Linked DNA regions of Macaca fascicularis. The protein of the gene in region 1 interacts with the protein of each later gene in a pairwise test. Links are inferred from orthologs where the notes say so. Each region holds a gene or a part of one and is shown on either strand. Other genes may lie near its edges.

Region 1 (3,648 bases):
AGATGGAGTCACTGAATCCAGCACCCTCATGGAACTAGGCCCAGCGAGCAGAAATAACTTGCCCAGAGCTGCAGGGCAGGGCTGCCTCTGGCTTTCCTTGCCCATGAGTGTACGATCACTCAGCCACAGCACCCAGAAAGACCAGCTTCTTCAAAGCTGAACAGATGCACATAGCCACAGTCATGGGGCCAGACCAAACACACGTGCAGGATTTAGCAAAATGGCCCGCAGGAGAGGGTCGGGCCACACCTGGAGCAAATATATGTGTGAGGCCTTCTCCCGGGCACCTCACACATGTTCTGTCACCAAATCATTTCTATATTACAGGTTCTGAGCCTGAGGCTCTGAGGGATCAGTAACTTGTTCAAAGGTCACACATCCACTAAACAATGGAGCTAGAATTTAAGCTTGGAGCTCACACACTTCCACAGTTTAGCCTTGCTTCCAGAGTAAGGGCAGGGCAGTCAGAGGCAGAGCAGACCCCACAGCAGGGACAAGGGCAGGGCGAGAGGGCTGTGTGCTGGCTTCTGCCTCAGTCTCCCTAAAAGGAAGCTGAAGAGATGTCCTTCCCTTTCTTCAGAAGAAGCTGGGACCACTCTGAAGAGTTACCTAGAAGCACCTTCAGCTACAGACCTGGAGCGTTCTCCACTGTGCTGCAGCCCCCAAATCAGGTAGCCCACCCAGCGTGTTCCCTGGTCAGCCCCGGCTGTATGCTGTATGGCCAAGCCCCTGTGCCACGATGTCCTTTCAGCTGGCATTCCTTGGAGGACACCGTGGGCCCACGGGAAGGGCAGGGGCCTGCAAGCCTGCATTTTGAGCCTGGCCAGTGTCCCAGTAGCCCTCTTCACAAGCTGACGCCCACCCACCTCCACGCAGGTGCCCAGACGCCGAGAAAAAGGAGACAATGTCTGGACAGAAGAGTCGTGGAACCAGTTTCTGCAGGAACTAGAGACTGGGCAGAGGGTGAGTGCTGGCTGGCTCTCGGGGTGTGCACGCACCCTCAGCTGATACATTTTGGAAAGTGAGCTCACCTGCTCTGACACACCCTTTCTACCCTTCAGCCCAAGAAACCGCTGGTGGACGACCCTGGTGAGAAGCCCTCCCAGCCCATTGAGGTGAGTGCTGCAGGGTGCTGGGGACAGCAGCCTGATAAACCAGGGAGATTAGGGTTTTCCCCGCCCCAGTGACCATGGGCATAGGCCACCAACTAAGAGCTCTCTCTCCAGTCCCACATGGTTTATTTCTGTAACGCCAGCACTCGGGACAGTGGCTGGCATACAGGAGGCGCTCAGTAAACATGCGTTAAATAAATGTGTTGGCCAAAGCAGGAGCAGAGAAGGGAGTGGTCAGTGTGCACTGGGATTATCAGGAAGTATTCTTGGAGGTGGAGCTGGACCCTTGAGAAGCTCTGAGGGCCTGATCCGGCGGAGACCCATAGCAGAGGCTGGCAGGAAGCAGCGTGAGGGTGGGGGCGCCAGTCCCTGGGGTGGCGGGGGAACCTGGATGGGCACAGCGAAGCCAGGCCTTGGAGGGCGGGAGAAGATGGGAGAGGAAATGGGGAGCCCCACTGGTGCTGGAAGAGTGACATAACTTGGCAGAAACTGGTAGAGCTGCGGAATGGCGGGATCAGGAAGCGCGAAGGCACTCCGGGGGCTTGCAGGGCAGGTGAGAGGCCGCGGCGGGGATGCCCTCTTGGCACCCCGGGCCACACCTCCCGGCAGGAGCCCGGCCCGTGCGCTGAGGCCTGTCCTTACGCCGGCCCAGTGCGCCGGCCTGGCTTCTCACAGCCGACCTTTGACCGCTGCCCCCACCCCCACCGTGCGCTGCCCCTCACTGCCCAGCCTCTCCCCGCCCCCAGGTGCTGCTGGAGAGAGAGTTGGCCAAGCTGAGTGCCGAGCTGGACAAGGACCTACGGGCAATTGAGACCCGACTGCCGTCCCCCAAGGTGCCAGCCCCTTGGGTTCACCCGCGGGGCACGCCGTTGACCGCACGGTCGGGGCGGGCCGGGAGCCTTGGCGGCTGGGCTGGGCGAAGGACGGGCAGACGAGGTCAGGCCTCCGGCGGCGCGCACAGGCCTCGGGCCCTCCTGGGCGCTGGCGGGCTCGCTCCTCCATAAATAAAATACAGGGCGTCGACTTTCGCAAGTGACCCCGAGGAGCCTTTCTAAGCGGACTCCACGTCAGCCCGACGCCCGGGCTCCCGCCCCGTCCCGCCCCCGGGCCGCAGCCTCGGGGACCCCCGCCCCTTCCCCTAGTTCCCGCCCCGCTCCGGGATCGGCCGCGCGGGCGCCTCTAGGACCCCGCGTCCCGCCCGCTCTCCTCCCCTCCCGAGCCGCGAACTTTTCCGGAGGCGGCGGCCTCGACTGCCGCTGGGTCCCGGGGTCGCGGGCCCTGATTGCGCCGTCTCCCCGCACAGAGCTCGCCTGCGCCCCGGCGGGCCCCGGAGCAGCGGCCCCCGGCCGGGTGAGTGGGAGACGCGGGAGGAGGAAGGGGGCTGTCCCGGGCCGGCGGGAGGGAACGTGGCGCGGCCGGGCGGGGCGGACGGGGCGATCGCGGGGCCTAGTCAGGGGAGGAGGGAACCGCAGAGCCCAGTGTCCGGGAGGGACCGCAGCGCCACTCTCTGCGGGATGCCGTCCCCGCGTCACCGAGGGCAGCTAACCCCGAGCGGAGGGCGAGGGTCGCGGCCGCCGGGGACGCGGCGCGGTTGGGGCGGCCCCGCCACGGCCCAGGCACTCCCGCTGGGCCCTGCCGGGCCTCACCCTTCCCGGCGCAGCGACTCGGGAAGTTGGACATCCTGTGGAGAGCCCAGGACCCGGGAGACGCCCTGGGAGGAGGCGGCAGGGATAGGGGCGATGGGGGTCAGAGCGGTCTAGGGGTGACCAAGGTGGGACGCGGAGCCCCAGGCTGGAGGCTCAGTCTCTGTGCCCCGTGCAGCCCGGCCTCAGCCTGGAGCTTCAGCTCTCCGAATGCACCTTACCTGGGTTCCGCCCGGTCCCTGAGCCCCCGCAGAATGGCTGATGGAGGAAGCCCCTTTCTAGGTCGGAGGGACTTTGTCTACCCTTCCTCAACCCGAGGTAAGGACCCAGCCGTGCTCTGTTTCTCACGGAGATGCCCACCCACCAGGCATGCTGGTGCCCCAGGGGTGGCAGGTCACAGAGCCCCTTGCTTCTGCCAGTGCCTGCCCTAGGTGGGGGTGCAACCCCATTCCAACCCCATCCGCCAGGTTGGCCTCCCCAAACTGAGGTTGTGCTTCTCCACAGACCCTAGTGCCTCTGACGGAGGGATCAGCCCAGCCAGGAGGGAAGAGAAGAAGGTAAGGAGGGGACCAGGGTGTGGGGGACCTGGAGTGGTCCCAAGGCTACCATCCTGGATCTGCCACCCGCCCGACTGAGGTAGCCCACTCTGTCCTCTCCCCTGCCTAGAGGAAGGCCGCCAGGCTCAAGTTTGACTTCCAGGCGCAGTCTCCCAAGTAAGTGCCCTCCTCCCCCTCCCCTTCCACCCGAGGCAGTCTCTGCCATCCCAGAGCGGGATGGGGAGGGGGACTGGGCTGCAGTGGGCATCCCTAATTGGTGAGAGGAATAAGGTGTACTGGGGAGGGTCTGAGGGGAAGGAGGCTTGGGAGGGCCTCAGCTTACCATGCGGTCCTCGC
Region 2 (3,648 bases), on another chromosome or scaffold:
GGAGTTTGAGACCAGCCTGGCCAACATGATGAAACCCCATCTGCACTAAAAATACACAAATTAGGGCTGGGTGCGGTGGCTCACACCTGTAATCCCAGCACTTTGGGAGGCTGAGGTGGGTGGATCACCTGAGGTCAGGAGTTCGAGACCAGCCTGGCCAACATGGCAAAACCCTGTCTCTACTAAAATTACAAAAATTAGCTGGGTATGGTGGTGTGCGCCTGTAATCCCAGCTACCCAGGAGGCTGAGGCAGGAGAATTGGTGGAACCTGGGTGACAGAGACTGGTGTGAGCCGAGATTGCACCACTGCACTCCAGCCTAGGTGACAAAACAAGACTCCGTCTCAAAAAAAATAAACAAAATATTAGCCGGGCCTGGTGGCGCATGCCTATAATCCTAGCTACTCGGGAAGCTGAGAGGCAGGAGAATCACTTGAACCCAGGAGGCGGAGGCTGCAGTAAGCCAAGATCACGCCACTGCACTCCAGCCCGGACCACAAAGCAAGACTCCATCTCAAAAAAAAAAAAGTGGGGAAGGACCAAAAGCAGTTGGCCTTCAGTAACTGAAGCTGAAAGTTCTTACTTCTGTTACCTAAGACGTCACTATGTCCATTTCAATTCGGGGATTTCCCAATGCCCAGTCTAGCTATGCAAAAGAATGTGTCAGCAGCAGCAGCAGAGGCTACTTCAGTTCTTGAGGCTTGTTGTAGATAGCTGCCCACCTTTCACTTTCTGCAACCCCTGGCCTACTCTTCTCCTCCCTCCATGTGTGATGTTGGGAGCAGACCTTTCTGCAGACCATGAGGACCATTATGGGCAGACGGAAGACTCCCTGACAAGACTACTGATAGCTACAGCTCCTACAGACAGTCACAGAGGCCGAAACAGCACTGCAGCTGCCAGGAAGACATACGGATGTCATAGTCCAGAGGGACTGGACCACTGCTAAGTGAGCTTGTCTTTCCTCTCCATACTCGATAACTCTTACTACTCATAGCGTGGTTGGTGGACCAGCAGCAGCAGCATTGCAAGGAAGCACATTAGAACTTCAGGTTTTACCCGAGACCCGCTAAATCAGAATCTGCATTTTCTCATAATCTCTAGGTGAGATCGTATCAAAATCCTAGGTGATTTGTATGTACATTAAAGTTTGAGAAGCACCGCACTGACTAGTGCCAAAAAAGTCTGTCTATTTAAAATGGCTAAAATCAGAGCTGCTGAATGAAAAGAGGGGAAACAGTTTTGAGGATAAATTTAACTCCTAACCAACATACCACAGCCTGAGGACTTGGAAAGCCTGTACCCTGAGAGCACTACCATGAGACACACCTAAAGTGTATGACTGGTAAGCAAAGAGGCAGCAGGTGATGACTATACCTGTCTGTAGGTATCCTGGTGATGTTCCTCATTTCGAGAGTCATAATACTGTTCAATGAAGCCAAAATATTCCTCCCGCTTCCGCTGCAGGGTCAACTTTCTCCTCTCAGTGTTTGCTGGGAGATAGCCCTATAGACAAGACTGCTGGTCAGATAGGGAAAGACAATGGTTGGATAAATCCTTAATTTTTATTTTAATCTATGCAGTGGTTTGGAAACTATCAAGAAGGAAAACTGCCAAGGGTAAATCCCTTCTTGGTTCTGGCCACCCATTTTTTGCCCTCTTCTCATTGAATGAGATCCACATGTGAGCAGATGAAGCAAGGCCAGCTTTCCCAGGATTATTTACTCCCTTGGCCCTGTACTGTGCTGAAGCTTGAGCCACTGGTGAGCACTCCTCAGCTCCCAGAGCTGGCACAGTACAGGAGTGAATGTAGGTCAGTGGGAGGGAGCTGGACCCAAGTCATGGCCTTGGAGGGCTGCGTGTGTCCAGGGCCATACTTCTGAGAAATGCAGGGATATAGCAACCTCTACAGCACATCTCAGCAGTGTGCCAAGTAAGTTGGTGCCAGTTACATTCTTTTCCAGTGTAACTTTCAGAATTACCAGCTTAGGAAGCAGCTGAATGGAATCCGTGACATAACAGCTACAACACTCAGACAGAACTTCTGGCAGCAGCCCCCAGCCTAGCCAAAGCTCCAGGCCAACTTTCATTCTTATCCTTGGTCTAGATCCCACTTTCATTCTTATATTTTCTGTTCCCCTTCCGTTCTCACCAAATCTACTCTGAATAGCATTCAAACTGATTAGAAGTGGCAGAGGCAATGATTACATGGTTGCAAGAGTAGAGGTGGGGCGAGCAGTCAGGAGACAGACCCTTCTTCTTGAAAACATTTATGTAATGCATTCCACAGTGAGTGCCTGGAGAGCAGGGACTGTGGTTTATTCATTTTTGTATCTGCTCAGAGCATCTGGCACTATGCCTGGCAAACAGCAGACCCTCAATCAATCCTCACTAGATGAATGAATGAATTTTACAGGCTCAGGAAACCCAAGTGTTCCTATCGTAGCGGCTGGCACAGTGCTCTGTACTTGGTGAAAGCAGGACTAGTAAGGCTTCCAAGGGAGGCCCATTTATCAACTCTTTACAGATCAAAGTGGGTTTCAACTTTTGGTTACTCCAACTGAAACAGGAGTAAAGCACAGGGAATGTTTGAGCTTGCTCAAAGCAAGTGCTGGGGTCACCCTATCTCACTCACTCTATTCTTCTTCCTCGCTGTTAATAACGTGAGACCATGACTATTGGTACAAGTCTGTGTACCTCTACATGTGTGTGAATAAACTCTCAAGAAAGTGTTTCTTTATGCACAGAAATAGGACTACAGTCCCATAGTTCTGTCATATCCAGTAGGACTAGAGAAGTCTATGGAGTTAAGACCAATGTGTCCAGACTAACCTCATCAGGCAAGAAGGGCTGTGTGAGGCTCACACTTCTCTACACAGTAGGTAGAACTCACCGACAGGAGTCTCCAGGTTACAGGTCGAACCTCCCTGGGAACCCCTGGCCAGCTACACTTCCTCAGTTCATCTGTAAACAGAAAACAGCCTTGTTAGGTGAACTCTCCACAAATGCTCTAAAGCAAACCGCAACCAGCACTGCCTGATGTCTCCTTCCATTCATGTAAGACCACCACCACCACTTGCTACCCATAAGCACAGGGAAAAGCCCAAAACAGCCCTGAGCAGCCAAGTGCCAAGGACATGGCCTTGCAGTAGCAGTCCTGTCAGCTCAGAGATGAAAGTTAGAGGGGAAGAGAAAGACCAGTGGGTGTAGATTTCAGCAAGAGTCACCATGAGATAGAGGAGATCAAAGTCAGAATAGTTGCACTAGGGTCTACAGGTCACAGAAACCAGTCCCACCTAATTTGGTCCATAATCTCTAGTAACATATGTCTGACTTAATACCTGCATGTCACTGCAATGGGCACCAGGTCAGGAGAAGCTAGAAAAGTAAAAGAAGGAAGAATAAAGAGCAGTAGCTTCCAGGTCTCTGAGAATTCCAGTCACCAAAAGCTCCTACCTTGCCTGGGCTCACAGGGACTCACCTAAGTCAGTGTTGTGGCTGGAGAGAAGCTGACGGAATTTTTCTAGGCGGGTTTTCTCCCGGACAGTCATTGGGGGGGCCCCAGAGGCGTTCTGATCCGAGATCCGGGCAACGAGGGGGATGATGGGCCGGAGAGGGAGTGACTGCTGTTTGTGGAGTGGGTTCCTC

Evidence for each region. The genes of interacting proteins can lie anywhere in the genome.
Region 2: the proteins of SORBS3 (region 1) and TBC1D22B interact in binary tests that used the Homo sapiens proteins (3 or more experiments, as listed by UniProt). The link is inferred for Macaca fascicularis from reciprocal best matches to the Homo sapiens genes SORBS3 and TBC1D22B.

What each region holds. Positions count from the first base shown.
Region 1 is NC_088382.1:25,656,278-25,659,925, forward strand, and holds part of SORBS3 (vinexin), read left to right. Parts: exon of another isoform or gene 1-249; intron 250-580; coding exon 581-671; intron 672-876; coding exon 877-963; intron 964-1,061; coding exon 1,062-1,115; intron 1,116-1,400; exon of another isoform or gene 1,401-1,617; coding exon of another isoform or gene 1,618-1,665; intron 1,666-1,858; coding exon 1,859-1,945; intron 1,946-2,415; coding exon 2,416-2,462; intron 2,463-2,933; coding exon 2,934-3,073; intron 3,074-3,259; coding exon 3,260-3,312; intron 3,313-3,421; coding exon 3,422-3,468; intron 3,469-3,634; exon of another isoform or gene 3,635-3,648. UniProt on the Homo sapiens protein: Vinexin alpha isoform promotes up-regulation of actin stress fiber formation. Vinexin beta isoform plays a role in cell spreading and enhances the activation of JNK/SAPK in response to EGF stimulation by using its third SH3 domain.
Region 2 is NC_088378.1:134,372,203-134,375,850, forward strand, and holds part of TBC1D22B (TBC1 domain family member 22B), read right to left. Parts: coding exon 3,482-3,648; intron 2,965-3,481; coding exon 2,894-2,964; intron 1,507-2,893; coding exon 1,378-1,506; intron 1-1,377. UniProt on the Homo sapiens protein: May act as a GTPase-activating protein for Rab family protein(s).